Canis lupus familiaris: one gene and its partners. The main gene of each other region encodes a partner of the protein of the gene in region 3 in a complex. Links are inferred from orthologs where the notes say so. Each region holds a gene or a part of one and is shown on either strand. Other genes may lie near its edges.

What was found.
Region 1: PPP4R3A (region 3) and PPP4C share a complex: the UniProt entries of both Homo sapiens proteins name them as parts of the PP4 complex. The link is inferred for Canis lupus familiaris from reciprocal best matches to the Homo sapiens genes PPP4R3A and PPP4C.
Region 2: PPP4R3A (region 3) and PPP4R4 share a complex: the UniProt entries of both Homo sapiens proteins name them as parts of the PP4 complex. The link is inferred for Canis lupus familiaris from reciprocal best matches to the Homo sapiens genes PPP4R3A and PPP4R4.
Region 4: PPP4R3A (region 3) and PPP4R1 share a complex: the UniProt entries of both Homo sapiens proteins name them as parts of the PP4 complex. The link is inferred for Canis lupus familiaris from reciprocal best matches to the Homo sapiens genes PPP4R3A and PPP4R1.

The regions. Positions count from the first base shown.
Region 1 is NC_049227.1:18,248,373-18,256,187, reverse strand, and holds the start of PPP4C (serine/threonine-protein phosphatase 4 catalytic subunit), read right to left. Parts: upstream 5,256-7,815; 5' UTR 5,102-5,255; intron 4,869-5,101; 5' UTR 4,805-4,868; coding exon 4,707-4,804; intron 4,615-4,706; exon of another isoform or gene 4,528-4,614; intron 795-4,527; coding exon 743-794; intron 165-742; coding exon 114-164; intron 1-113. Other genes in the region: ALDOA (fructose-bisphosphate aldolase A), read right to left, coding at 7,427-7,522, 7,607-7,806. UniProt on the Homo sapiens protein: Protein phosphatase that is involved in many processes such as microtubule organization at centrosomes, maturation of spliceosomal snRNPs, apoptosis, DNA repair, tumor necrosis factor (TNF)-alpha signaling, activation of c-Jun N-terminal kinase MAPK8, regulation of histone acetylation, DNA damage checkpoint signaling, NF-kappa-B activation and cell migration.
Region 2 is NC_049229.1:63,603,120-63,610,240, reverse strand, and holds part of PPP4R4 (serine/threonine-protein phosphatase 4 regulatory subunit 4), read right to left. Parts: intron 3,692-7,121; coding exon 3,586-3,691; intron 2,510-3,585; coding exon 2,362-2,509; intron 1-2,361. UniProt on the Homo sapiens protein: Putative regulatory subunit of serine/threonine-protein phosphatase 4.
Region 3 is NC_049229.1:62,670,607-62,678,313, reverse strand, and holds the start of PPP4R3A (serine/threonine-protein phosphatase 4 regulatory subunit 3A), read left to right. Parts: upstream 1-3,204; 5' UTR 3,205-3,278; coding exon 3,279-3,420; intron 3,421-7,707. UniProt on the Homo sapiens protein: Regulatory subunit of serine/threonine-protein phosphatase 4. May regulate the activity of PPP4C at centrosomal microtubule organizing centers.
Region 4 is NC_049228.1:75,605,852-75,612,249, forward strand, and holds the end of PPP4R1 (serine/threonine-protein phosphatase 4 regulatory subunit 1), read right to left. Parts: intron 6,131-6,398; coding exon 6,010-6,130; intron 5,913-6,009; coding exon 5,778-5,912; intron 5,283-5,777; coding exon 5,141-5,282; intron 4,038-5,140; coding exon 3,874-4,037; 3' UTR 2,886-3,873; downstream 1-2,885. UniProt on the Homo sapiens protein: Regulatory subunit of serine/threonine-protein phosphatase 4. May play a role in regulation of cell division in renal glomeruli. The PPP4C-PPP4R1 PP4 complex may play a role in dephosphorylation and regulation of HDAC3.

The DNA of each region.
Region 1 (7,815 bases), on a different chromosome or scaffold from region 3:
GAAAGCCACCAAACTAGAGGCTTCTCACCTATACTCCACTCACCAAATTAAAGGTTCCACTCTCAATTCATGCCCCAGGTCACCTTTGGGTCCCAGAGTCTCCCCACACTTACTCTGAACAGCTCCTTGAGGTCATAGAATTGTCCGTGGATGTCACCGCATACCTGCAAAGTGAGGAGAGGTGGGTCGCAACTCACAGTCTGAAAGCTCTGCTCCCAGGGACTAACCTTCAAAACACCCACTGTTTAGCAGCTCCTTATCACTCCTGGCCAAATCTTTACTTCTTAGGGCCAAAATCTCCTCTCCTACCCCGACTCTGCCTGGTTTGGAATCACAACCCATCCCACACAGAGTGCCAACTACTGTGGGCAAGAGCTAGAGCCAGGTCTTTCCAGTTAGACCTGTAGCTTCTGGAGGACCTAGCCCGCTCCTCTCCCTGTTCCCCTCAAAGAACCTAGAATAAAGCTGCTAATAACAGAATACACAGGAACATTTGGAGTAGAATCACTCACCATAGTAAGAAGCCTTCTGCCCTGGCCAAGAGTATCCCCCCAACATATTAAAAGACCATTCCCATAACATCTGTTTCATATAGCAAGGCTCCCTTAAAGATGGGAGAAGGAGCAGATACACAGGGCCCCTGGGCTCTCAGGGATGGGGGTAGCCCTCTGCAGCCCGTAAGATTAGGGGGTATGCCCGTGTGCCTAAGACGAAGCTAGGCTCCGGAAGGACAGGTACTCACTGTGACTGGCGAGTCCACCCTCTGTACGTTGCTCTCCTCTACCAAGATCTCTCTGGAGACAGGAGAAGACCAGGGTCACCACGGCCAGGCCAGGCCAGGCCAGGCCAGCCCAATTCCTGATCTTTTCCAGGGGAGGATATGAGGTAACCTCTAGGGGGCAGGAGTGAGGTGTGCAATATCCCCAGGGTGGGTTGACCAGGCCTGGCCAGGCCTCCCAGAGGCCAATTGGCCAGAGCCCAAACTCTTAACTGCATTCAAAGTTTTTCCAAGGAGGCAGCAGCCTTCTGAGTCCTAACCCTCCCTGCTGCCCTCTTTCACACAACCGGTGCTCATTCAGAAAACAGACCTCCTCTCCGCACAGAGACCTCTGCTCACGCTGCTTCCTCAGCCTCGAGTACTCTGAGACTGTGTCCTCCACTTAGCTTACGGTCTCTCTCTGCTCATCAGAGGCCTTGCACAGACCATCCCAAGGTACCCAGTCATCAGACACACCATCAAAGTGATGTGCTGTGTTTTTCCTTACTTAAAGGGAGTGACAACGTTGTTCTTTCATTTCTCCCTGCAGTGGAGTCTACTACTACTTGCCAGCACATGACATAAAATCACTTTGTCAGTTACAGTCAACTGGAGAGGAGCCACACTTCCAGATTTCTACCTTGATGACAGCAGCAGTGACCACTCTAGCTGATATGCCGCAGGACTGCAGTAAGAGCTCTGCATCGACGACACAATCAAAGAACCATCCCCAAAGCAGGCATCGTGATGACACCCACTGTTCGGATGAATAAACTGGCTACAGTCCTACAGGTGGGACTTGAACCAAGCAGCCTGGCTCCAGGATCTGGCACTTTTATCAAGCTGCTCTGGTTTTGGAGGGCCCCAGGCACCTGCCTACCTTTTTCCGCCAGCCTCCTCCTAGGAGACTAGGAGCTCCCTGAGCTCAGAGAACCCGTGATTTTACCTATGTCCCTGAGGGCACTCTCTCAGACAAAAGCAGCTTGAGGGAAGTGTGGTTGCTTGGCTTTCTGGGAATGGGAGGGCGTCCCGGCAGGGGTCTGGGAGGCCAACTGGCCACCAAGCCCTCCCCGCCGCTGGACTACATCATGGGTCCAGCATCCTTCCACATCAACTGCTTGTGAAGACATTTTCAAATGACTCAGGGGGGTTCTTCTCATCCTCATCTGACACAGAAACTGAAGCTCAGAGAAAAAAGGGGCAGGACCCGGCGAGGTGGGGGAAAGAGAACCAGCCTCCGACCCCAGCTCTGTCACTCACAGCACATCACCCGCCCTCTCAGAGCTCACACTTACCCACCTTTACTTCCACAACAAATGCCAGTCCCTGTCCCTACATATGTAGAATCTCATCTGAGCTCCATAATGACTTCAAAGACTTGGAGAGGTACAGTGACTTGACCAGGGTCACACCATTTTTAGGGGACAAAGCTGGGATTCACGATGAAGACCACCCAATTCAAACCCTCTGCTCTTTTACCATAGTGATATACATTATATATGTATTTTTTTAAAGATTTTATTTATTTATTTATTCATAGAGACAGAGAGAGAGGCAGAGACACAGGCAGAGGGAGAAGCAGGCATCATACAGAGAGCCTGACGTGGGACTCGATCCAGGGTCTTCTGGATCACGCCCTGGGCTGCAGGTGGCGCTAAACCGCTGCGCCACTGGGGCTTCCCCTATGTAAGTATTTTTTAAAGTAATTTCTACACCCGATGTAGGGCTCAAACTCACAACCCCGAGATCAGAAGTTGCATGCTCTACCGACTGAGTCGGCCAGGCACCCCTACACTGGTATTTCAAAGACGACCAAGTTTGGTTCACATACTTCAGGCCTCTCTAGTTCCAAGAATTTACATCTATGTACCCTGGGGGCAAGCTGAGGTTCCAAGATGCTACTGGCCTGGGCCTCGGCCCCTTGTGGGTCTCCAGGAGGCCACGGCCAGGTGCACAAGTTGTTCTCCCTTCAGAACAGACCCTGGATAATACTGGCCAACTTAGGTCTCAGCCCAGTACCTCCCAAGCTCTTCTCAGTTTCAGCTGGGCAAGACTCCCCGACCCCTCAATCCTCTATAGCTCCCCACTGCCTTGCTGACTGGTTGGCTATCAGTTTACAGGCAGTATAGTAAAAGACCTGGATCCAAACAAAGTGAACCTCTCTTCCTACCAGCTATGGGGCTACAGGCAAGGCATTATGTCTTCTGAGGCTCAGTTTCCTCTTCTGTGAAACACTCTCTCCAACCTGCCCGCTCTATAGGGCTGCTGCCAAGAGCAGGTGAGACTGGATACATAACCTGTGTGTCATTCTGAAAACCCCACCATGCTATGCGAGCACTAGCTATCATCACCACCAAATGAATTCAGGCCCTCTGGGCAAGATGAGTCTTACAGGAAAAAGAACAGTGCCAAGCAACAGTTGGTTTAAGTTCCTAAAAATGCTGTCAAGACTGAGGGAACAGCGGTGACTAAAAACACCTTGGGGCTGGTCCAGTCAGGAAAACTTTCTTTCACTGCCAGAACACAAAAGAGTCGCAGACAAGCATTTAAGAGGCCTTGCCTGTTTCCCAAACAGGCCCAGTCTGGCCACTATGGGTCTGTCTGAGGTAAAGCCAGGCAAGAGGCCTAGAGCCACAAGGCCGGGACCTAGCTCTGCTACTTTCTTTCTGGGTGACCTCAGTCAAGTCACTAGGTCCCTAAGGAGTCATGTTAAAGGGAGCAAACAGCTTCCATCTCACAAGACTCCTGTACGGAAAAGAGAGAAGTTCCTTGCCAGTACAACGCCTGTTGTTCAAGGAATGTAGGGTCATTGTGCTGGCTCTTTCCCCACAATCTCCAGCGTGGTACAAGCCACAAACAGTACCTCAGGGGAGGCCGGTAAGTGGTCTCCTCACTGGTGCCCATACATCCCAGAGCTTCCACTCCTGCTCTCATCCTCCTGGGAATATCCTTGGTCCCTGGCTCTGCTTCCATTAGCTACCCAAATTATTTTCATCTTCCAAGACCACCTTCTCCTAGAAGCCTTCCCTGGTGACTTCGGTCCTTACTGGCAATGCCCCCTTCCTACACGGTAGTAACGTAACACCTAAAGACTGCTGAACACTTACATTGTACCACAGCACTATGCTAAGCTAGTCCGAGGCACCAACTTACTGCCTCTTCACCATCATCTTCTTAAATACTATTATTCCCACTTTACAAATAAAGAAACTGCCAGAGACCTCAAGATCACCAACAGGGCCAGTAAGTGGCAACGCTCACATTCCCACCCAGAACCATCACATTCCAAAGCCTGAGCTGTTAACCACTACATGACCCTACTTCCCACAGGCCTCCCTTCATGTCAGGTTTAATTTCATTCTGACTTATTTGCTACTATTTCACACTGAACATGAGGAGATCCAATTCCACCATCTTGCGTTAAGGCCTGAAAAGAGACAGGATATGGAGCACTGGCTTCGGACTCCATCCCTTACTTGCTGGCTGACTCTGAATAGAAGAGTCCTCGGCTGCAAAATGGGGACAATACCACCCACCTTTAGGGGTTGTTCTTGGGATTAATAAGAAGTCTACAAACCATAGAGCCTTTAGCCTTGAACTGCCTTGAACTTCTGTTTTTGTCAACGCTCCCTTTTATCATCTTAATTTTCAAGGCCTATCCCCAAAGTTCGGTTCCTCCCAGAAACTCTGTTCCCCCGACAAGTAGGACTGTCTCCTTGAGCCTCCTTAGGACTTTTTATAATTCTCTGACGCCACTGAAAACACATCACCTAATACTTTAAGTGTCTTTCTCCAGGTCTGTCTTCTCCCAACGGGCTGGTTGCTCCTCGAGGGAAGTGGCCCTATTCTGCTCCTCTCTGGGAAAGATTCCAGGATGAGCCAGGCCCCAAGTTCTCGGCTGGGTCTGCCCCAGTCCGGAACCCCGGGTCAGCGGGGCCACCCGGCTCACCTGGCCTTAGCGCACAGGGCCTTGACTTCGCTCTCTTTGATGAGCTCGCAGCGCCGCAGTTGCTCGATCTGCCGGTCCAGGTCGCTGATCTCCGCCATGGCCCACCCCCCGGCGCGGGTCAGAGCCGGGGCCGCCGCCCCCTCCGCACCGCACAGGGGTCTCCTGAGAAAGGCGAGGGCGAGCCCGGGGATCAGACTGTTTGTAGGGGGCGCCGGGGGTGGAGGTGGGGAGGCAACTCGATCCTGGAGCGGGCCCGGCCCCCCCACCCCCGCCTCCCCTCCCCTCAGCCCCTGGACCCCCGAAGTCCCACGGCCCTGGCTGCTCCCAGCTAACTCCCGTCGAACCCCGTGGTCCCGCGCTCGGGACGGTGGCCTAGAGGAGTCTCAGACTATTACCGCCGCCGCGACTCCGGCTCCCGCTCCCGGGCTCCCTGCCTTCCTCCTTCCCTCGGCTTTGGGCCGCCGCCACCGCCGCTTCTACTTCCGGCCCCGCCGCGGAAGCGAAGGAGGATCAGTTCCGCCGCGCGCCGGATGTGGCGTCATACACACCCTCCCCTTCCCGCGCCGCGCCCCTAGCTCCGCCTCTCGAGCCTAAGAATGGAAATGAGCGAAGGAACCGGATGTCGGCGGCTCGGCAGCCGCGGTGACCGCGGTGCCGGTGGACAGCTCAGTCCCCTCCGCGTGGCCGTCTCAGTGAGACGCAAGCTGAGCCGCGCCTCGAGATACCTGTTTGGGTCGGCCTCCCCCAGTACAGTCCCCGAGGGTCACGCTTTCAGCCCGTGCCTGGCACAGAAGGCGCCTCAGCGGGTGTTCAGAGGCTGGAGGAATCCCGTCCAGATCCCTCTCCACGGCCCGGAGAAATGTCTGCCACAGAGGACCTCTGAAGTTAGAGGCAGAAACGAGGCCACCTTGCTCACACTTGGCGTATGCCTCAGGCAACATGACCTCCCGATTCCAGAACGGCCCCTGACAACCCTCAGTTGCTTTATAGTGTCTGCAGTTGTATTTCTTTTTGTACGGAATCAGTTCTTTAAAAAAAAAAAAAAAAAAAAATCAGTTCTTGTTTCTCATCCACCTATTGCTTAGACTCGGTTCTGGAATTCACTGTTACTAGAAAAGCTCCGAAACCCTCAAACTGTCATTTGAGGAAATGGTCTGTAAGCGTACTTTGCCCTGTATGGGCCTTTGCACGGGCTGCTCCCTTTTGAAGCGTCCTTTTTGCTATCTTCTGTTGACCTTCCATTTTTACTTGCTTTACTTCAGACTTTATTTCACAGTGAGGTTAGGCACAGAAGTAAGGCCAAAGTTGAGAGAAACACTAAGAGTAGGTTTGGTTCTGTATGTAGTCAACAGATGCAAATGTGAACTGGAGGAAAGGACCAAGTCCTTAAACTCCTAGAAGGCCCTGCACAGCACTATAGGGATACAGTAGGCCCAGAGATGACAAGTCAAGATTTTTTTTTTTTCTGGAGGGAAGCTCAGGCAGGAAAGGGCCCCTTATCAAAAATTCAGGAAATGGCAGGAGTCATGAGGTCCCTGGTTATGACTAGGATCTTCAACAGCTCAGAAGCTCTGATGCAGCTACTACTTTGCCCTAGCCTGGGTGACTGGGTAAGGGCTCAGGGCATGGCAGAGGGGTAAGAGCAAGGCCTTCCTTCTGGCTTCATGGAATATCGCTGCTGCATTGACTTAGTGCTTAACCTGGAACCTGAGGGCCACAGTTCTGTTGTTGAGGTGGCTGTTAAAAAGGGATTCCATGTTCGTCAAGGGGTTCCCCAGCCCAAAGAAGATTAAGAAGCCAGTTATAATCCCATCTCCTGTTAAGTCGGGAAAACAGACAGCTCAACCATGTAGATTAAGGACATGTGCATTAATAATCTTGTCTTCATCCAGAAAGTGCTATCTCAAGCAGTATGGCACTTAAGCAGGAGTTGGGAATAGCACATGCTCATATAGATTGTGTCATCTGGCTCATAGCACTCGGGAAATGTTAGCTTTTGTCAGTGACTTTTTGTGCCAGGGGCCTCCTACACCTGAATTCTCAGTCTATAAGGGAGGCTGAGTGGGAGCACCTAGATGGCTCAGTGGTTGGGCATCTCCCTTTGGCTCAGGGCATGATCCCAGGGTCCTGGGATCGAGTCCTACATCAGGCTCCCAGCAGGGAGCCTGCTTCTCCTTTTGCCTGTCTCTGCCTCTCTCTGTGGATCTCTGACGAATAAAATCTTTTAAAAATAAAAAAATCAAAGTGAGGCTGAGCCTAACAGTTACACATGTAGTCCCCAACTATGAGCCTTATTGGGTACTGCTGGTAGAAGGGGGCAAAGCCCTTGATGGTTGGAAGAAAATGTCACAAGATCTCTTCTTGAAGCCCTCGGCATAAAACAGGAAGGTTCTCTCTCAACCTGTTCAATTTTTTCCTGCCTCGCAAGGAAAAACAGAAAACAAGGGCTCTTCTATGCTCTGTCACCTCCCTGGGCCCTCCCCTAACCTGAACACCAGACACAGACAGCAGACTCCCCCTTAAATAGTTGTTTATTGGCAGTGGGCTGGAAAGAGCAACGGAGTTAGCATATACAGACAACACCACACACCAATGTCACATGGGAGGCCAAAGTGATGGGAAAGAGCAGCCTGGAGCCCCAGGTGAGGCCCTCTCTTCAAGAGTGAGTGGGAGAGGGTGGGGGCTGGAGTGTTGAGGGGGCAGCCTTAGAACACCTCCGCTTAGTAGGCGTGGTTAGAGATGAAGAGGGACTCGCTGGCTGCAGCCCCGGCCTGACCACTTGGGGTGTACTTTCCTTGACAGGCGAGGCTGTTGGCCTAAGAGGGGAGAGGAGCCAGAGTGAGGTCTCATCAGAATTCCATCCACCCCGGCACCCGGCCCACTTCCGGTCCCATCCTTACCAGGGCTCGCTTGATATACTCTTCCTGGGCAGCCTTCAGGTTCTCCTTCTTTCCACCCCAGGCCTTCAGGGCAGAAGCCTGTAGGGCTCGGCCATAGGAGAAGGTCAGGGCCCATGGCTTCAGCAGGGGGCACTTGTTGATGGCATTGAGGTTGATGGATGCCTCCTCCTCACTCTGGCCGCCTGATAGGAAGGTGATCCCTGTAGAAC
Region 2 (7,121 bases), about 930 kb from region 3:
TTAAGGTTTTGACCTGAGTGGGTGCTAAGGTGCGATGGTCATTTGCTCAGAGGGAGAACACTGCAGAAGGAGCAAGGGTGTGTGCAGGTGCAGGAGATGAGGATTTACTTTGGGACAGACTGAGTCTGAGGCACCTGTTGGACATGCCATGGAAATGCTAGGTGGGCAGCTAGCTCAACGTGGCTCCCGTCCAGGAGGGATATCCATATAGTCAGGAATCTTTAGCACACAGATGATATGCAAGTCATGAGACTGGACAGATCACCAAGGCTGTAGGTACAGTTCAAGAAAAGATAAAAGGACAGAGTCTAGGTGCCATCCCAGTCTATACCACATGGATAAGGAAGCAACACGCAGGCTGAAGAATGCCAAAGAGGAGAGAAGCAATCCAGGGAAGTACAGAAAGCTTCCTAGGAAGAAGCAGTACAAAAAAAATTCTCTGCTTTGCTAAGCTACTACCCTACCACTCTGCCAGGGCTGGCTTTAAAGAGGGATGCTAGGTGGTTGCCTATGTTTTAGCTGCTGTATCAATTCATTCATCTTAGTGCTCTCCAAATACTATTTTTTTTACTCCTTATGCCAATTTGAGACAACCAAGTTCCACTCCCAGAGTTTCCAGGACACTTTGTCAGCTAAGCTCACAGTTGAGGAATCTTCATATAAAAAAAAAAAAAAAAAAAAAAATTGGCTTTTTATTCAAGCAAAAAGGCTAAACAGGCTCTTCCTCCAGAATTTTCAGCTCTGTTCATAGCAATAATGGTCTTAAACTCACTCAGAGCTCACCACGGATCCTGGTGATGCTTTCTTTAAATTAAGAGGCCCGAGTTGCCCCAAAGAGAATTTTTTGCATTTCTGGCAAAGGGGAAGGTTCCTTTGGAATACCAATGGTCTTTCCAGGCTTCATATTGTCTATAATCAATGAATTCAAATTTTAAACATTCACTTAAGGAAAAACAGAAACAACAGACTATTATGCATACTTCATTCTTCATAACTCAAAGTAGGTCTAGAAAACATATATTCAACAGAAGGTACAGAAGAAGAAGCCACAGCGGTGAGTTATCTCTGTGAGATTCCTGGACCCGTGAGATTATAAAGATTTTAAGATTAGATATCACATCTTTCTGGTAAGCTAACTTTGTTATATACATTATCTCAGGTATTTATTCCTCAGAACACCCTATGAATTGGGTAATTAAGGAAATTAGTGCACGGAGAGATTATGTAACTTGCCCAAAGACCACAGCTAGTATATAGCTGGAAATCAGGCCAGGTGGTATAGCTCCAGAAACCCTCCTACTAAGTGCATGATCCCACCACTCTTGCCTGTGATGGCTTTCATTCTAAATAACATCTCTACAGAGTTGGGCAAATGCTTTGTATCCAAAAGCCAATTAGCATACTGTGTTGCTGAATCCATTTGTTTGGCTGGCAGCTGCCCAGGTAGAAGACTGAAACTTGGGTGGCTCAAAGGTTGAGTGTCTGCCTTTGGCTCAGGTCGTGATCCCAGAGTCCTAGGATTGAGTCCCACATTAGGCTTCCCGAGGGGAGCCTGCTTCTCCCTCTGCCTGTGTCTCTGCCTCTCTCTCTGTGTCTCTCATGAATAAATAAAATCTTAAAAAAAAAAAAAGAAGAAAACTGAAACCAAGACAAATTGCTATGCAATGATCTCTTACCCTCCAAAAATAACCAATATTTATGGAGCAATGTTCAATTAATCTTCATTTGGTTTTTGAATTGTCAGGTTGCTATCTCTTAGGGTCAATGCTATGCATTTAGTCATATTGACCAGAGTAGAGATGATTTCATTTCCTTTCAAATAATCTTTGTCAATTGCTTGATAAATGATAATTCATCACACCGGGAGCTGATTTTCTAGAGTCACAACTTCAATTTGCAAAATATTAACAACATAGATGTAAAAATACTGAAGCCAATGCAGTAGCATTTTCTGTATTTTCTTACACTAAAAATACGAAACAAAATCCAATCCTGATTGCCTCTAAAAATGGACAGAACTTGGCCAAGCCAACTTTAAGTTATTTTCTTTAGTCTCAGAAAATCCATAAATTAAGAATATCTATCTACTCAACCTTCTCCTGACACCAATGTTATGTATTTATCCAAGTGGCAGGAGAAGCCTGCCAGTCTGGCTTTGACTACTACTCTCTTAACCCAATAAATCAAAGACATGAGGCACTGTTTAAAAAGATTATGCCTCCAAGTCCTATTGAGGCTCATGAATTAAGACTACCAGGAATTTCAAAGTGTAAGTACATTATAGTAGATCAGAAGATGAATTATAGTAGATAAAGTTAAATGTACAATATTTTCAAGTATTTCTTTGGATTAGTAGCATACCTTACATTTGCCACCGGATCATGTGTCAGTTCAATAGCAGGTAGAAAGAAATATTTACAGAAAAATGATTTGGAAAAGATCTCTATAATAAATTCACAGGTATCCAAAAATCGAAGTCTATTCCAATAACTTTTTCCTTGGCCCAGTTCTAGAAACAACAACAAAAAAGATAAGTTTAATCTTTCCTGCATGAAATTATATGTGACAAATACAAATCAAAACCACAATGAGATACCACCTCACACCAGTGAGAATGGGGAAAATTAACAAGGCAGGAGACCACAAATGTTGGAGAGGATGCGGAGAAAAGGGAACCCTCTTACACTGTCGGTGGGAATGTGAACTGGTGCAGCCACTCTGGGAAACGGTGTGGAGGTTCCTCAAAGAGTTAAAAATAGACCTGCCCTACGACCCAGCAATTGCACTGCTAGGGATTTACCCCAAAGATACAGATGCAATGAAATACCGGGACACCTGCACCCCGATGTTTATAGCAGCAATGTCCACAATAGCCAAACTGTGGAAGGACCCTCGGTGTCCATCGACAGAGGAATGGATAAAGAAGTTGAGGTCTATGTATACAATGGAATATTCCTCAGCCATTAGAAATGACAAATACCCACCATTTGCTTCGACATGGATGGAACTGGAGGGTATTATGCTGAGTGAAATAAGTCAATCGGAGAAGGACAAACATTATATGGTCTCATTCATTTGGGGAATATAAAAAATAGTGAAAGGGAATAAAGGGGAAGGAGAGAAAACAAGTGGGAAATATTAGGGAGGGAGACAGAACATGAGAGACTCCTCTGGGAAATGAACTAGGGGTGGTGGAAGGGGAGGAGGGCGGGGGGGTGGGGGTGACTGGGTGACAGGCACTGAGGGGGGCACTTGACGGGATGAGCACTAGGTGTTATTCTATCTGTTGGCAAATTGAAAACCAATAAAAAATAAATTAAAAAAAATATATATATACATTATTTTAATTTCTCAAGTGTAGAAACTCACTAAAGAAGGCCCAGAGTAAATATTTCTCCCATTCAATCACAGACCGATCCTGTCATTTAAATTTCTAAAGCAAAAAAAAATAAATAACCTACAAAACTCAAATACACACTCTAGATATTTATCAACATCACGGAAAAATGATACATAATGTCGGCCCAAGATAACTAAGGCCAGTTTACTTTCTGCTTTTCCAAATAAAAGGCAATGATTACTTACGTTCAATTAACTTCTGAATGACCTCATGTCTCTGTTCTTGTTTACGATTATAACGTAGAAAAATGCATAGAGTTCGTGAAGCTGCCTTTTGGACAGGTAAGACATTCTTAAAGAAACAGGTAGGAAAGACAATTAGACTAATCTTATAGCATAGTTTTGCTCCACAGATCAATTTTCAGTTTTGGCTAAAAGTAAGAGCAATTTTGTCTGCCTCTCAAATCACCTAGGAAGTGTCTTCCTAATTCAGTGTGAATATCACTCAGGCAGATCAACTAATGCATCACATTACAAAGTTAATTTAGTTTGGCACAGTCATTTCCAAATCATCCAGATCTGATTTTTAGTTGACTCTCCTTTCTCTGCCACTTCATCGTTAAGTGGCATTCTCCCCAAAAACATCTCAGCCATCCATTCTCTTAGCCATTCCCTGGACCTTGTCATTCATTTATTCAACAAATATTGCAAGAACATGCCCTGCCTTAGACCTAATCACCAAAAATGTGCCACTTCTAAATTGAAATCTAGAAATCATATGATCAAGTGTACCCTTCAATCCTTCCGCTTGCTTCTGCCTCTTCGACCATTCATCGAGATCCCTGGCCTATATCACAGATAAAATTTAGAATCCAAGGGACACCATGTCAGTGACTCTGACTAGTGTTCTATAATCCTTTGTCTTCTGACTTTCCATCTTATCACTGGGCAGAATTTGTCAACTGTAAATGAATTCAATTATCTATCTTTACTGGGTTCAAATTATATATTAGAAAAAAAATCTCTCAACCAGTAAAAAATTCGTATTTACCACCTTGGCTTACATATAAATACCATCATATTTAATATTCAAAGATTCAGAGTATTATAGTGGGGATCCTTGAAATTCAAGTAGAATAAAACTTACTACACTGCGGGGAGTAGCCTACTACCTCCTCTCATGTTTTATACAAGCTCTTTTTCTCTAGAGTACTATTCTGTGTGGTATTTTTGATGTGTTAAACGTAAAAGGAGGGATCCCTGGGTGGCGCAGCGGTTTGGCGCCTGCCTTTGGTCCAGGGCGTGATCCTGGAGACCCGGGATCGAATCCCACATCGGGCTCCCGGTGCATGGAGTCTGCTTCTCCCTCTGCCTGTGTCTCTGCCTCTCTCTCTTTCTCTCTGTGTGACTATCATAAAAAAAAAAAAAAAAAACCATCTGATCACCTTGAGCCACAAATATATAAATAAAGTTCCTCCTTATTCAATTTAAAAAAAAAAAAAAAAAAAAAAAAACGTAAAAGGAGAGTATTCCCTATGAATTAGAACAGAAAATTTAAGAAAGGTACATAAAGAGAAGCATCACTGGCATTTTAAAAATGAATTTTAGATAAATGAACTGAATAAAAACATGTTACTCTCTTCTTCAATTTGTGTATACTAATAGAATTTCAAACACATCAATACTAGTCACATGAAAAAAATTTTTTTTTTTTACCTCACAGTATAACATAAGCTATCTTTTGGGCCAGAAATCAAAGATGAAGGTAATCGTATCAAAAACATGTCAGGCCCTGCCTGAGTAAATTGTGACAATCTGAGTACACAAACAATGACTGCATTTGATTAAAACAATATCTAATATTAGAGAATAAGCCTGAAAGGGAGACAAAACCAAAACAAAACTCAGTTGTCACCACTGGGAGTGGTTACTGCACCAGCTCCTAACTCTAAAAACTGACAGCAGGAGGAAAAAACTAAGGATTACATGAGGAAATATATTTCAGTGTAATCAAATTACCCAAATGGATAAAGAAGAATATCTCTTCATGGAAGAATGTCATGAAAAATGTAGAAGTGATAGAATTTTTAAAAATCACTCTCCTGCAAGTTCTAATGAAAACAGATTCAGGAAGGATCACCAGTGGTTGCCTAATGAGTGTTAAGGTTGATGGAAAAATGGTGTTCAGAGTGTTCCAACCATCAGCTTCAGGGTACAGTGTACCTTGCAAGAGAAAACATAATTTTGCACCAGACTGATAAAGCTGTCCCCACCTGGACAAACACTCTGAGCTCACTGACAGAGAAACACATGTCTGGATAGGATGCAATATAAAATGTAAATTGGTGTCCAAGAAGTATTCTCACCAAAAATGTGTAACCTAAAATTCAGTGAGCTTTAGGTTAATTTTCTATTAGATCTAATTTCCCATTTACAAGAAATATTGAGAATAGGTGAACCATGAAGCAGCACTCTGACAGAATATTCTACAGGACAACAAAGTCTCTTCCACAATTCAATGTCATGAAAAAGTGGCAAAAGGGAGAAGTGGGAGCCTGTTCTGAATTAAAAGACAATTAAGAGTTGTAACAGCCAAAGGCAATGTAGATCCTATATGGATATGCATTGGATCCTATATGGAATAAAACAATTATAAAATATACTTAGGGGGCCAATGTGGACTGCAGAGATATGAAACAACATTGAAGAATAATTGTCTGCTTTGTAAAATGCAATGGCTATATTGTGATTATATAGGAGGATGTCCTTTGTTAGAGACGAACACTGAAATGTTCAGAGATAAAATATAATGATACTTAGAATTTAAAATTCCTCAGCACAATGAAACAGAAAAAGTGGATATGGCAAAATGTTAATAACTATTCAGTCTAGCTGAGTTCTACATGGGGGTTCATCATTTTCTCTGCCTTTCTGTATCTTTACAAAAGTAGAAAAAGTAGAAAAAAAATCATTACTCAAAACCTTCCAAAGATTTTCCATGTTTCAGAGCATACAAGCTTGATTCCATGTCAAGGCCCTGAAAGTGCACTGTGCTGCGGGCCCCACCACCCCCTGCCTCATCTCTCTGCCACTCACCACACCAGCTTCCTTGCTCCTCACGCAACCACACTATTCCCTTTGCCCAGGCCACCTGTCCTTCAGACATCCACACGGTAACTCCTTTATTTGGTTCAAACCTCTGCATGAAGTGTACTTGATCAGAGAGGACTCCTTCCTGACCACTCTCTCTCCACAAGAGCATCCTACTACCCACTGTCACGTTCCTCATTCTCTACCCTGCTTTACTGTTCTTCACTGTTGTTCTTCCCTGACATACTATCTACATATGTTGGCTTACTGTCTGTCTCCAGTGAAATTTCAGATTCCAGGATAATATTTCCTTTGTCTCTTTTAGGTACCCTAGATATAGTGCTTGGCACATAGTAAGCACTCAATAAATTTTGCTGAATGAATGCATGAGTCTTCTAGCCATTAAGTATGGAATGGAAAATATAAATCTTTCTTTTCTCCAGAGAATATTGAAGCAGAATAAAGTATCCTCTTTGATCATGGAAAACATGCTATAATAACCATGTATCTCCTTTTAAGTGTGGAATCACTGTCTTGTAAAAGAAGGTAAAACAAATCTCTTAGACTTGCAAGTACTTTGTTCATACTCTATGTTGTAAATCATTTCTTTCTTGATAAGTGAAGTTAAAAATATGGCATAATTATGTCTTCTTAGCTTTGTAAGTACAGCAGTACTAAATCATCAGGCTGAG
Region 3 (7,707 bases):
TTTTTTTTTTTTTTTTTTTTCCTTCCTTCCTTCCTTCCTTCCTTCCTTCCTTCCTTCCTTCCTTCCTTCCTTCCTTCCTTCCTTCCTTCTTCATTCCTTCCTTCCTTCCAAGATTTTATTTACTTATTCATGAGAGACACAGAGACACAGGCAGAGGGAGAAGCAGGTTTCCGGCAGAGAGTCCAATGTAGGACTTGACTCCCGCACCCGGGATCACACCCTGAGCCAAAGGCAGACAACACGCAACAGCTGAGCCACCCAGGCATCCTCTGGATCTTCTTTTTCAAGACAGAAGTGCAAAGGTGAGTGACAGGCCTTTTTCAAGGAACTGTGATATAGTTCATTCTAGATCTCTTTTTTCAAGTGTGTGGTTGTTCTTACCTGGGAAGTTGGCTTGGCTCTGAAGGAATCCACTCAAGGAGCACACTATACATCAGAGCAGCACCTGCCTCCTGAGTAGACACCAAGTTTCATAGTGCTCCACTCCCCAGGTCCCCTCCTACCAATACCTGCCATCACGGCAAGATCTGATTTTCACTGGTGGCCTCAGAAGGGAGAGTGGCTTTTTTTCTTTCAGTGGCTCAAGTTCTTTCTCTTACTTTGAGTAGGGAAAAAAAGCACCACCAGCTTTATAGAGAGTTTTAGAAGGGAGATAAGAGTGATAGGAGTGAGTCCAGTTGATTTTTTTTCCACAAATTATTTCATGTTTGGTTTGCGGTTCAAGTAAGTAGGAACAATAAATTTAATGATGTCTTACTGGATCAAAATTGGACAAAATTGCTGTCACCCCCTGATGCTTGACATTACTGTGTTTTATTTTTTAGACAACAGCTTTATTTTTTATAATTTTCCCCTTTTGTTGGCAAAAGAGGAAAGTCTCCGACTGTTCTTTGTAAGCACCTCTTTGTATTTGTCAGTGGGGGAGGACTGTCCCAACTTCTGATTTATCTACTTATTTTTATTTATTTTTAATTTTTTTTTAAAAGATCTTATTTATTTATTCATGAGAGACACACACAGAGAGAGAGAGAGAGGCAGAGACACAGGCAGAGGGGGAGAAGCAGGCTCCACGCAGGGAGCCCGACACGGGACTCCATCCTGGGTCTCCAAGATCAGGCCCTGGGCTGAAGGCGGCGCTAAACCGCTGAGCCACCCGGGCTGCCCCAACTTCTGATTTAAAACAGAAAAATCCCATATCCTGGGCAACCCGTTTCTCAGTACTGGTGTTGCTGTCAGGGCCTCTTCCTGATAGATGCATTTGCAGGTTTGATGGGAGATTCCTGGTGATGTCAAGCACCTGGACCTGCCATAATGGTGGCCACTAGACAGGGGCTTACTGAGCCCTTGAAATGGGGCTAGTGCGAATGAATAAGGAACTGAATTTTAAACTTTTACATTTTAAAAATGGATACTTTTGGAAGAAAATAACTTGAATATGCGAATATCCTTTTCCCACTGTAAGCTTAATACACTCTAAGCACAGATTAGGTTATTTGCAAAGGAGATTTAGCTTCCAAGGAGAAATTTACGCCGAGGGGGAAAAACACACATCGCATCTTGAACTCAGGTACGAAGAAAAAAAAAAAAAAAAAAAAGGAATGGAAAAAAATCATTGACGTCATACTGAGGATTAAAACTTTGAAGATACCGCATCCAATAAAATACATTATGAAGATACATTTCAGCGGCTTCTTTGTACTTTCTCGGAGAGCGGCTACTGTAAAATTCTGAATTACACGTGGCTCGTGTCACGTCTAGTGGACACAGGGAAAGCCCCCAAACGGCGGCTCTTGCTTGCACGAGGGTGAGAATCTGGGGGGGGGGGGGGGGTCCGATTCCTTTGTGAGGATCTTCAGGCCCTCACAGCCCCCGTTGAGAACTGCTCAGCGCGGCTGCACAGCATCGCACGGCGACCGGGCTTCGTGCGTCCCTCGGGTCTTGCTTTCCTTGCAACACGGAGGAGCGGGAGAGCGCGCGGGCGGTCGGCGGGCGCGGCGGGGCGGGTGTAGCCGCGCCCCCGGGCCTGCGGCCGTCCGTCCGTCCGTCCGTCCGCTCTGCAGACGCGCCCCACGGCGGCTCCCGGGCGGGCGGCCGCCCTCGCCGCGCAAACCTGGGGCCGTCCCCGGAAGCCTTTCCGTTTCTCCCCGAGGAAGGCGCCTGACATCGCCTGGGCTCCGGCGCCTCCCCGACGGTGCGCTCCCGGCGCGCGGCACAGGACGCCGGTGGAGGGGGAGGCGGGGGGGCCCGGCGCCCGCAGCCCGACAGGCCGAGGCCGCGGCGGCCCCCGCACCCCGAGACGCCGGGCGCGCCGAGGCCGGACGCGGGCTCCACGCCCCTTCCGAGTCCCCGAGCGGGGCTGATGACGAACACAGGGCGCGACGGCGCACACGCCGCCCCGCGCTCGCACGACAGTGCGTGCAGGGAGCGCGAGGGAGCCCCGGGCCGTCAGCGGCGCGACCAGCGTTCCGCCTCCTCCGCTCCCTGCGCTCCCGCCACCTCGGCAGCTCGGCGCCCGCCTCCCGCCTCCGTCCGAGGCCTCCGCCGCAGCGAGGCTCCCGGCCTCGCTCCTGTCTCTTTAAATGGTGGGGCCAACGGGCCGCCCCTGCAGCTGCTGCCTGGGTGGCCCCGCGCGCCGCTATTGAGGGGCGAACCAAGATGGCGGCGGCTTTGGCTCCGTGAGGAAGACGGAAGAGGCGGCGGCAGCGGCGAGGGGAAAGGGACTTCCAGGAGGCAGGAGCGCTCGCGCGCCGGGGGGGCTCTCGCAGGCTCCGGCGCAGCGGTAGCAGTTGCAGCAGGAGGAGGTGCCCCTCGGCTTGGGACGTTTGAAGCCGGGGAGCGGAGCGCGGAGCCGCTGGCGGCCGCGGCAGGGCCAGGTAGAAGGAAGGAAAACATGGCGGCGGCGGCCTGAGGAGGCGGCGGCGGCGCGGGAAGCGGCTTCGCGGAGATCATGGCGGAGGCGGCGGCGGGGCAGTGAGCGGCGCCCCGAGGTCCTACCGCATCGGCCCGGGAGGCTGCGAAGCGCTGCGCGCCCCTCTCGGGGCGGCCGGGCTCCCCGCGCGCGGACAATAGCGCCCAGAAGTGGGAGTCGGAGGCGAGGAGCACCGGGGCCCAGAGCTCGGGCCGGGGAGCGGGCCATGCGGGCGGCCCCGCGGCCCCGCGGCGGCCAGCGGCGGCAGTGAGCCCGGGAGCGCCCCGCCTGCAGGCGTCCTCCCGCCGGCGCCGGCCCCCGTTCCTGGGCGACTGCAGCGGGGCCTGTGCCCCGGCCCGCGGGCGGCACGATGACCGACACCCGGCGGCGGGTGAAGGTCTACACGCTCAACGAGGACCGGCAGTGGGACGACCGGGGCACCGGGCATGTGTCGTCCGGCTACGTGGAGCGGCTGAAGGGCATGTCCCTGCTTGTCAGGGCCGAGAGCGACGGTAAGCGAGGCCCCTGGCGGCGGGACCCTCGCCGGCGCCGGCGGCCCCGGGCCACATCGCTGGGTGTTGGGGGCCAGAGGCTTCCCTGCGAGGTCGGAGGGGGCGGCCGCCGCCCCGGGGGAGGGCGGACCGCCGGCGCCCGGGTCCTCCCGGAGCTCGCTGCAGCGCGAGCGCCACCGCCACCGCCACCGCCAGCGCTCGGAGGGTCTCGTTTTCTTCCCCGCGCCCGGTAGCGTTTGGGCGACGAGGGGAGCCCGGCTCGTTGGAGCGGAGCCCCCCGGGCGTGTGCCGAGGGCGGGGGCCTAGATCGGCGGCCTGGACGGTGCCGTTCTGTTGCACCAGAGTGACCTTGAGAAAGGCACTGATTAATCCGATCTTCTGCCTTAGTTCACTCATCTGTGAAGCAGGCGTGAAACTTTCTGGGAGCGAAGAAAGTTCTTAGGTGTCACTCTTTGGAGAACGTTGTGCTTGCTGTGCCGCCACCCCCCCCCCCTCCCCCCGCACTCCCCCCTTTAAACTATTTTTCTGCTACATCTCTTTGATCCTGTTGCAGCAGGTTGGCAACTCCGGTTCATGGATGGCAGAGAAATGCTTCTTTGCCTCGAGAAAGAAGATGGATTTGTGTTACCTGGTGTTGTCTTTTTTTTTTTTCCCCCCCAGTAATGCAGAATTCTGTGTATAGTTTGTGTAGGCGTCTTGCAAGGGTGGAACCATTTTATTCGCGGGTTTTTTTTTTTTTTTTTTTTTTTGGACCGCTTAAATGTGTGATCACAATTTGGTTCAGTTAACAGGTGGGGAGAAGTTGGCAGATAAGTTTGAAACCTTTGGTATCTGCCATAGTGCTTGTGGTTCCCATTATTTTGAAACGGCCCTCAAGTTTCAGAGACCTAGTTTGAAAATGAGTGTTGCACATTTTTCAAGGTTCAGTGTTTGCCGCCTCCCTCTGTGACGTATTTCGGAGTTTCGCTTAAAATGTCCACATCAGGTGAAAGTATTTCCAAATTGTTACTTTTGAAGTGGAAAACCTGTCTTGTTACATTAGTCTGTAATTTCACTTTAGGCGCTTCAGTTTATTAGGATTGTAGTTGTTCTGTATCTGAATTATTGCAGCGGGTCTCAAGGAATTTTAATTGGACTTTCAACCCAGAACTCTCCGTTCCATGAAAAACAAACAAGACTCACCCCTCTGTGATTAAAGACTCTAGGGACATTGATTTTCAATTTGAATTGAAAAATTGTACTTTAGAGCTATATTGCCCACAGGTTAACTTCATAAGGCTGCTGAAAATAACTTAGAAATTATTTCCTTTAGAGGCGTTTAAAGGATTTTGAATACCTTGAGTTTATTTTTCTGAGGCCTATTTATTTGCCTCTTAAAAATACAAGTTTGAATGTGTTAGTGTGCTTTTGTGTCTCTCACATAGTCACCAGTTACTCTCACATATCCTCTTTTCCTTTGCCTGTTTGGAAAACTTTTTACATAATGAGTTGAAAAGCGTGGGCTTTGTAGGTTCAGTTAACTTCCAGATGAAAGTGTGTGTAGATGTGAGACCAATTCTTTGAAATTTCCTAACTTCAAAGAACATGTATAACTGTCACATCACATATTTAATTGGACTCATTCTATGAATGGATCCTTTGTTTAAAAAGTATTTTTAAGCATTACGTTTCAATGTCATACTATCCTGGGGAATCCTTGTCCACCTACTTGTGTTGGGATCTGTTTTTTTTCCCCATTTTTATTGTTACCACTTTGGAAAATAGCCCCTAAACTCGTTTCCTCCCTTGGGAATTTTTGGGAACCTGCAATGAAACAGGTTGAATGGCAAAAACAAAAAGGCCGTAAGTTTTATCTATTTTATTTATTTTTATTTTATTTATTTTTTATTGATAGAGAAAGAAAGCTGAAATAAACGTAACTGATTTGTCCTTGTTAATTTAAGATGTAAGGAAAACTAAATCAAAGGAGTGGGCTTAGAAGATTGCAGCATACTTACGAAATATTGTCAGAAATAATCTCGTTTGATGATTAGTACTGTCTTCTGACAGGAAAACTCTAAATAGGAATAATAAAAATTTATCCAGTCCCTACTATGTGCCAGAGACTCTACTTGTTATCTGCTGGTATAGGTACTATTATTAGCCATATTTTGCAGATGGGGAAACTGAGGCTCAGACAGCCTTTGACTTGAGACTATTATTATCATTAACTGTTTATAGCGTAAACTCCCTTACTGCTGTCTACTTGTGTTTGCTACTTTATACTTAAAAGCTCAAAGTTTATTTCAAAGAACATGAAAAGAATTTTTAGCCTAAAGATATTTAAAACTATAGTTTATCTCCAAGCTACATGGGAGTTTTTGTACAGATTGCTAGTTTCGGTCATCCATTATTGTATGCTTTTCCCATTCTCCATTATGGGATAATTGAGAATTTTCTTTTTATTGTGGTGAGCAAAGTGGAAAGTATTTCTGATTTTCCATAAAATGAGTCATTTATCTTGTTAGAGGTGCTTATACACTAAACTGAAAATCAGGAAGGCAATTTCTGAATGGAAGTACTTGTGGCCTCCTTGTTAACAGGGCACAGCTTTCTGAGTAAGTATGCCTTTCCCTTCTGAACTGAATGATTTGGCAAATCTGTAGCCCACTTTACTCTGGAGGAGAGAGAGGTCCTGCCAAGCTACTGAGCCCGCTCTCTAGGTTTTATCCTTGTTCAGTAGGTTCCTACTGGCAAAGGGTATTGTGGGAACATAGCCTTTTCTCCAATGAAGATAGATTACCGCATTTCTAAGGTTTTTGTCATAGCCAGGTACCAACAAAGTTCCATCTAACAAACAAACAAAAAATTTACTTTTTTTCTTCTTTCAGTTAATGCTATACCTTTTAAGTTGCATTAAGGGTAATAATGTAATCCCTAACTTGCCCTCTCACTTTATATTTAAATCAGTCTACTGCATTATGGTTTTTACTATTTCCACCTTCTAATTTTAGAATTGATAAAGACTTTGGAATTTCTCCACACACTGAAGGATGTCTATTTAACATGAAAAATCATATCCATGCTCTTTATTCTGGATTACTTGCCAAGCATCAAGAATAGTGTTCTTGGGGATCCCTGGGTGGCGCAGCGGTTTGGCGCCTGCCTTTGGCCCAGGGCGCAATCCTGGAGACCCGGGATCGAATCCCACGTCGGGCTCCCGGTGCATGGAGCCTGTTTCTCTCTCTGCCTGTGTCTCTGCCTCTCTCTCTCTGTGTGTGACTATCATAAGTAAATAAAAAAAAAAAAAAAAAAAGAATAGTGTTCTTATATTTTGATTTTTACCTTAAGTTGAATAAAGTAATTTTTATATTTCAAAATAGTTTTATCTATTATCTGAGTTACCTTTTTCGGAGTTTAAAAGGTTAAATTTTCAGTGTCATTTGAGGCACGAAGAAAATGAGACACGGGGAAATGTTTTTGTTCAAGTTAGCACTAGTAGCTAATGGTAAAAACCAGAATCTTGTACCTCTCTGCCTGTTGTAGAACTTGGTTGTAAGTAGTGCCTCACCTCCACTATAATTAGAAAAGGAGGTCAGAACACTTAAGGTGGAAAGCCTTTTTTGTTTTGTTTGGGCTGTTGTGGTGAAAGAAATGAACAGAGATAAGTATCAGCAATTTTTTTTTCTCATAAATTAGTAAGCGTTGTAGAATATTGCATACAGTAAGCATTCCAGATTTAGCTACTGAGAAGAGCTCAGTGTCAGTACTGCAAGAAATCCTTCACTTTGAACAATTCATTTAAACTCTTTTTTTTTTCTTCTCATGTAGACCTATTTTGTAAAAAATTATTAGGCCTTACTAGGTAAGCAAACCCTGTTTGTCACTTTGTGTGTGGTAACTTCTCACAGTTTGAAGTCCATCAGCCACTCTGGGTATAGGTAGTAGGGCCAGAGTGTAGTAAAGGCCTGATGCAGGTATTGGACCTTTTAATATAAGGCTACCCTTTCCTCCTCCTCCACTCAACCTTCATTTGTTTTTATTTATTTTTTATTTTTTTTAAAGATTTTATTTATTCATGACAGACACACACACACACACACACACACACACAGGCAGAGAGGCAGAGGGAGAAAGCAGGCTCCGTGCAGGGAGCCCGAAATGGGACTCGATCCCGGGTTTCCAGAATCACACCCTAGGCCAAAGGCAGCGCTAAACCGCTGAGTCCCCCCGGCTGCCCCATTTCAGTTTTTAAATGCTGTATGTAATCTTGAGCCACAATCAGGAGAAAGGGACTGGGAACACACA
Region 4 (6,398 bases), on a different chromosome or scaffold from region 3:
TCCCACACCTCCCTCCTCCTTGGAGCAGCATCTGTGAAGAAGTGTTGCTTCCTGATGCTCCCCCAAAATATCAGCTTGGCGTTTCAGGCATCCACGGTCCCCCGACTGCAGTGCCAGACTTTCGAGTTGCTTCCTTCAGCACATTCAGCTTCCAGCACGCCAGGAAACAGTCTTGCCCAAGATGAAGTGGGCCCTGGACGGAACAGGTACGAGAAGAATTGGCCACACACTGTGCACCTGACCACCTGCCCCGCAAACTAAGAATCAGGGTGCCATCACCTGGACAGCTCAGAAGGCATTTGCAGTGTAGTTAGGAACTCAGCATTTGCCAATTCCGCTAGAAGGTTCCAGACAAACCATGGTCTGGCATCACAGAAATACCTCCAAGACTTAAGCACAAGGATCACAGCCCGAAGGCAGCCCGCTGAGCCATTCCACTCCGCCAACAGGAGGTCTGGTGGCCTGGGGCCTGGGTGAAGGGACACTCTGAAAACGCACCAAAGCCTGCAGACAATTTCTCCCGGACAAGGGGGGAGCAGCTGAGATTCCCCCGGGGACGCAGGGCAGAGGCAGGAGTGCGGCCTCCGAGTTTCCCTCGGGGGGACTAAGCTCCAGCTTTTGAAAAATACCGTTTTCCTCCTCACCTTTGTTGACATCACTTAAGACTCACGATCAGAAAGATAGAAAGAGATGGAGTACTTCCAAACTCGTTCTATGAAGCCAGCATCACCTTAATTCCAAAACCAAACACCCCACCAAAAAGAAGAATTATAGACCAATATCCCTGATGAACATGGATGCAACAATTCTCAACAAGATACTAGCCAATAGGATCCAACAGTACATTAAGAGGATTATTCACCACGACCAAGTGCGATTTATCCCCGGGACACAAGGCTGGTTCAACACTCGTAAAACAATCAATGTGATTCATCATATCAGCAAGAGGAAAAACAAGAACCATATGATCCTCTCAATAGATGCAGAGAAAGCATTTGACAAAATACAGCATCCATTCCTGATCAAAACTCTTCAGAGTGTAGGGATAGAGGGAACATTCCTCAACATCTTAAAAGCCATCTACGAAAAGCCCACAGCAAATATCATTCTCAATGGGGAAGCACTGGGAGCCTTTCCCCTAAGATCAGGAACAAGACAGGGATGTCCACTCTCACCACTGCTATTCAACATAGTACTGGAAGTCCTAGCCTCAGCAATCAGACAACAAGAAGACATTAAAGGCATTCGAATTGGCAAAGAAGAAGTCAAACTCTCCCTCTTTGCAGATGACATGATACTCTACATAGAAAACCCAAAAGCCTCCACCCCAAGATTGCTAGAACTCATACAGCAATTTGGTAGCGTGGCAGGATACAAAATCAATGCCCAGAAGTCAGTGGCATTTCTATACACTAACAATGAGACTGAAGAAAGAGAAATTAAGGAGTCAATCCCATTTACAATTGCACCCAAAAGCATAAGATACCTAGGAATAAACCTAACCAAAGAGGCAAAGGATCTATACCCTAAAAACTACAGAACACTCTTGAAAGAACTTGAGGAAGACACAAAGAGATGGAAAAATATTCCATGCTCATGGATTGGAAGAGAATATCTCCTAAGATTAGCCGCCCCGCATTAACCCTATGAGGACATACTCACCACCTGATTCCTCTTCTGATTATGAAATTAGTTTGAGCTGGTTTGCAGTTTCTACCTCCTGGAGGGTTTCAAAGATCTGCTGGGACGGTCAGTTTTCCTCCTTTGCTGGGTCCTGTGCTGCCTCCGGAAGCCCACTTCTCTCCCTTAGAAGCCCTGGCGCTCCCGCCCCGAGGCAGGAGCAGCCCGGCTCGGCCCACATGGCGCTGAGTGTGGAGCGGAGCCCCCACCTCCTGCGGCCCGGCCCGCGGTTCTTCAGACGCGACCACGCGGGAGGGCTCCAAGGGCAGCGCCGAGCAGCAGCGAGGTCGCGGAGAGGCCGGGCCAGCGGGGAAGGGGCCTGTGCTGCCTTTGTACGCTTGCCCTAAATTCAAGTCCTTTATCCCGAATATACTATTACTGCTGTCGCTTACGAGAACACGCAGCACCGGGACGCCCAGGGGGGCTCGGGTGGAGCACCGCCTTCGGCCCAGGGCCTGATCCCAGGGTTCCGGGATCAGGTCCCACATCAGGCTCCCTGCATGGAGCCTGCTTCTCCCTCTGCCTGTGTCTCTGCCTCTCTCTGTCTCTCTCTCATGAATAAACAAATAAAACCTTAAAAAAAAAAAAAAAACGCAGCTTCGTGTGGGACGGTCACGTCATTTACACAACTGAAATTCTGGGGCTGCGCCCTCCTCCCATCTGTGCCCCCCTTCTGGGCCAGGCCCCACCAACCCCCCCGACCCCCTCCATAGACCGCCGTGCACCCCCGCTTCCTCCATCCCAGGGCAACTGGCTCACACTTCCGCTCGCAGGGTTGTAATGCAAGAGGCAGAGACACAGGTCTCACCTGCGATAGTCGCGATAGTCTGTACACAACACGGCCTACGTGTTCCCCAATCCGCACCCCGAGGCTCGAGGGGACCCTGCCGGCTGAGTCATGGAAAGCAAAGCTCACAGGTGCACCCCAGGGACTCAGGCCAAGGGTCCTTCAAGCTGGGCTCAGAAGAGCGACCGCCACCTCCATGCAGCAGTCTGCAGCGTCCCAGTCCCAGCTTGTGCAAGGCCGCTCGGCCACAGATGGGGCATGGCTTCCCGTTCCCACTGTGCAGAGGCCGTGGGGACTCAGAGCTGCAGGACTATGTGTCCGGGGCCTTGGGCTGAACTCCGGACACCCCACTGTCTGCTGGGAACAGAACCTGGCCCCAAGTGGCACATGCAGATGGCAAACAAATTACTAAACTAGGTAAAAGACAAATATTTTAATCTAGTTTTCCCACTTCATACTAAATCATTAATACAGGTCACAAATTGCATTTATTTGCAGACATCTAGAAAACAATCAGAAGTGTATATATCTCTCTATATAATCTTATTAATAAATTTTATTCGGACAAGAGAACTTGTGCCACAAGTTTAGACAGCATGATTAGACTGCAGCACTCCCAAGAGTGGTCACAGGTATGTACACGTGGGAAGTAAAGCTGCACCTCAGAGCCGATCATGATCAAGTTAAAAACACCTGACATACAGCACGCGCCAATCCACTCCTTCGGGTCATGACCAGCATGAAGAAAATCGGGACATAGATACTCAGCCAACATTCTGTAAATGTGCACAGCAATATGCTGCATTTAAGAGTTAAAATCAGATTCTACTTTAGTGTTAGCATCAAGCCCTTAGGAGAAACCCACCCCCCAATCTCCTTTCGCATTTACACACGTCGGCAACTATTCACACTTAGGGCCGGGCTGGGCGGCTGGCCACGGAACCAACAGGTCCTTGCCTGCGTGGGGACAGTGCGGGCTAATACTGAAGGTCTCGGTCACATCCTGGCTCGCAGCCACCTTCTGGCTGCCACTCCATCTATCTGGCATTAAATAAAACCAGGAGAAAGCAATGCAGGTCTCTGGGAATCTCCTCCCTTCCATACGGAAAATGCTCTGCCAATTCAAGTTTCATTCAGTCAGGAAGACGGAAGGATTTAAGGCTTCGGTGACAATTATAATCCTCTGAGAAATTATTTTCCCTTAAAGTCAAGATAAGATAATAGTGTTTACTGTACTTTCTCTTGACTCTTAAAATCCCTGGTATCAATGTAGGCAACTTGCACCTGCAATTAATCTGCAAGCGAGGAAGGTCTCTCCTCCTCCCCAAGGCTGGCCCAGATCGCATGTGTGGAGCACTTGTCAGCCCTTGGCTCCCTATGAAGCGGAAGGATGAGGTTCCGGCCTTCTAGTAGGTTGAGGAAGCTGTGCTCATGGCATCATCAGAGATTTTGGTACTGGCAGGGTGGATGCTTGCAAAATACTTGACGTCACTGTCACGATCCATCTGAAGAGCCATGATGGTCTGTTCTACGGCTTCCTGATGACAGCTGGCAGAGGTTAGGAAATATTCTGGAGATGCAAAATGCAGATTACAAATAAAATGAGTTTAACATTTCAGTTTTATCAAGTATGAGTATACTAAGTTCTTAGTCATAAACATAATTTCTCCAAGTATAAACACAAGCTATGTCGAATTACAAATAGTAATCCAAGTTGATTGGTGTGATATGAAAAATATCCCCAAGCCTAAGAGAATTGTATGATTTATCTTGTTTTTAGAACAGACTAAATGGCAGCAAAGCTAATAAATATATTAACACTTATACTTGTGATAGGTATTAATTCAGTACAAACACCCCAAGTACCAATCACACAGGTTGAGAACCAGTTTTCTTTAGCTATTTCCTTACTGCTATTAAAACAATTTAAATGAATTCTAAAGGAGGGAAAAGCAGTATTCATTTACCCATATTCTTAGAAGCCTATTAACAAACGTTTCTATGCTTCATTCACGAGTTCATGCATTTAAATGCTATTTGTTAGATATGGGGGGGGGGCGCCGACAATAAATAAAACACAGCTGAATCTTGAGCAGCTTATTAGTATGTGGCAGCAAAGCAAATACCAGGAAGCATCTGTCTTCTGCCTAAGGAGTGAAGAGGAGGAAACACAAACATGCCTCCTGGCCCTGAGCAACAGTAACACAGGTCACGTGGGACAGACTGACGGCAGTTTCTCATCCTGTCTTAAGAGAATACCTAATCTTTCAAATGACTGTCTTGATTTTTTTTATTTATTTATTTATTTATTTATTTTTTATTGGTGTTCAATTTACTAACATACAGAATAACACCCAGTGCCCGTCACCCATTCACTCCCACCCCCCGCCCTCCTCCCCTTCTACCACCCTTAGTTCGTTTCCCAGAGTTAGCAGTCTTCATGATGACTGTCTTGATTATAGAAGAAATGCCCCTGGAGCAGGAAGGCGAACAAGTCCCTGTCATCTAATCTGTGCCCTCTCTCAGGGGGAGCCCCCACTTGACAACTCAAGTCTTCTCCCATCAGATAACACGTAGGAACATATAGTGCTTCCGCTCAGCTACGTCTCCATCCGTGCAGTCCGTGTACCTCCTCCCCGCAGCACACGGTTTTCCTAACAGTCACCTACCCACCTTTCTCCAGGAGAGTTTGTCTTAACGTCTTTGCAAGCAGCACTCGAACGTTCGGAACCCGATCATTTGCCAAGGTTAGCAGATGCGGCATCAGATGCAGAGCGAACTGGTCCATGGGAAGGCAATCGTCCTCGATGACAGTCTAGGAGGACAAACAGTTCCTTTAATCTGCCAAGGTAATCGCCAAACCCTGGAATACTGGCTAACATTCTCTTTTGTTAACAGCCCAAGCACTACAGATTTCAGCTACTTCTTTTTAAACTATCATTCCACGCGCTTGGGAACCCCAAACTAAGAGGACATAATTTTAAGTCCTCACAGACAAATAGGTTTTTAATGGCTCTCCTGAGTCCCGGAGTGTGCAGTCATGCTCATTTACACACACACACACACACACACACACACACACACACACACACACACGCCACAGGCTATGCCATGGACCCCGAGCGCCCCCTAGTGGATGGCTGTGGGATGAGCCAGGCAGACACCAACTGGGGAACAGGTGATCCCCTGGAGAGCCAGATGGCAAAAGTGTTCCTTAAGGATCAGAAAGAGAGTGTTGGGAAGCACAGTGAAAGAAGAAACATAGTTTTAGATAGAAAAATGTGTCACGCACGCATAAGTCTTCACTTACCTGGCAGACAAAAACAAAGGCTTGCCGGCCAGACCACTTGGGACATCTACCAAAGTTTTCTACGAGCTCATTGATGAGGTCAACTCCAAACGTGGGGGGCGTTGCCATGTGCAGCTTCTTCACCATCTCACTAACCTAGGAGGGGGAGCGCAGAGACATGAGGAAGACTTTCTGTTCCAGGATCTTATTAAACAGTGTGCTGTTCTAAAATTGAAAAAATTGTAACACATACCAACTTGTAGGAAATCCAACGAACAGAAGAAACTTTATCTGCACATAGATTCAGAGCAATGGGACGTAAATAGTCATAAACATCTCTGGGACTATATAATTCTAGAAGTAAAATCAGCTGTCTACAAAAATGAATTATAAAAATAAAAATATAATTAAAATTTTAAAATAAATAAATGAAAATAAGTTAATCATCTGAATAATTTGTAATACTGGATACTATTTGTAAGATGAACACATGCAAAGACTAGTGAGCAATGTGGTCTCTCATGCACAGAGTCATCACCAGTCTGTATGTCTCTAGAAATGTTTTTAAACACTATGCAAGTTCAAGTATCTCCTCCCCTCAAAATGTAAGGAAAACAAATGTGGAATTCTAAGTCCACAGGG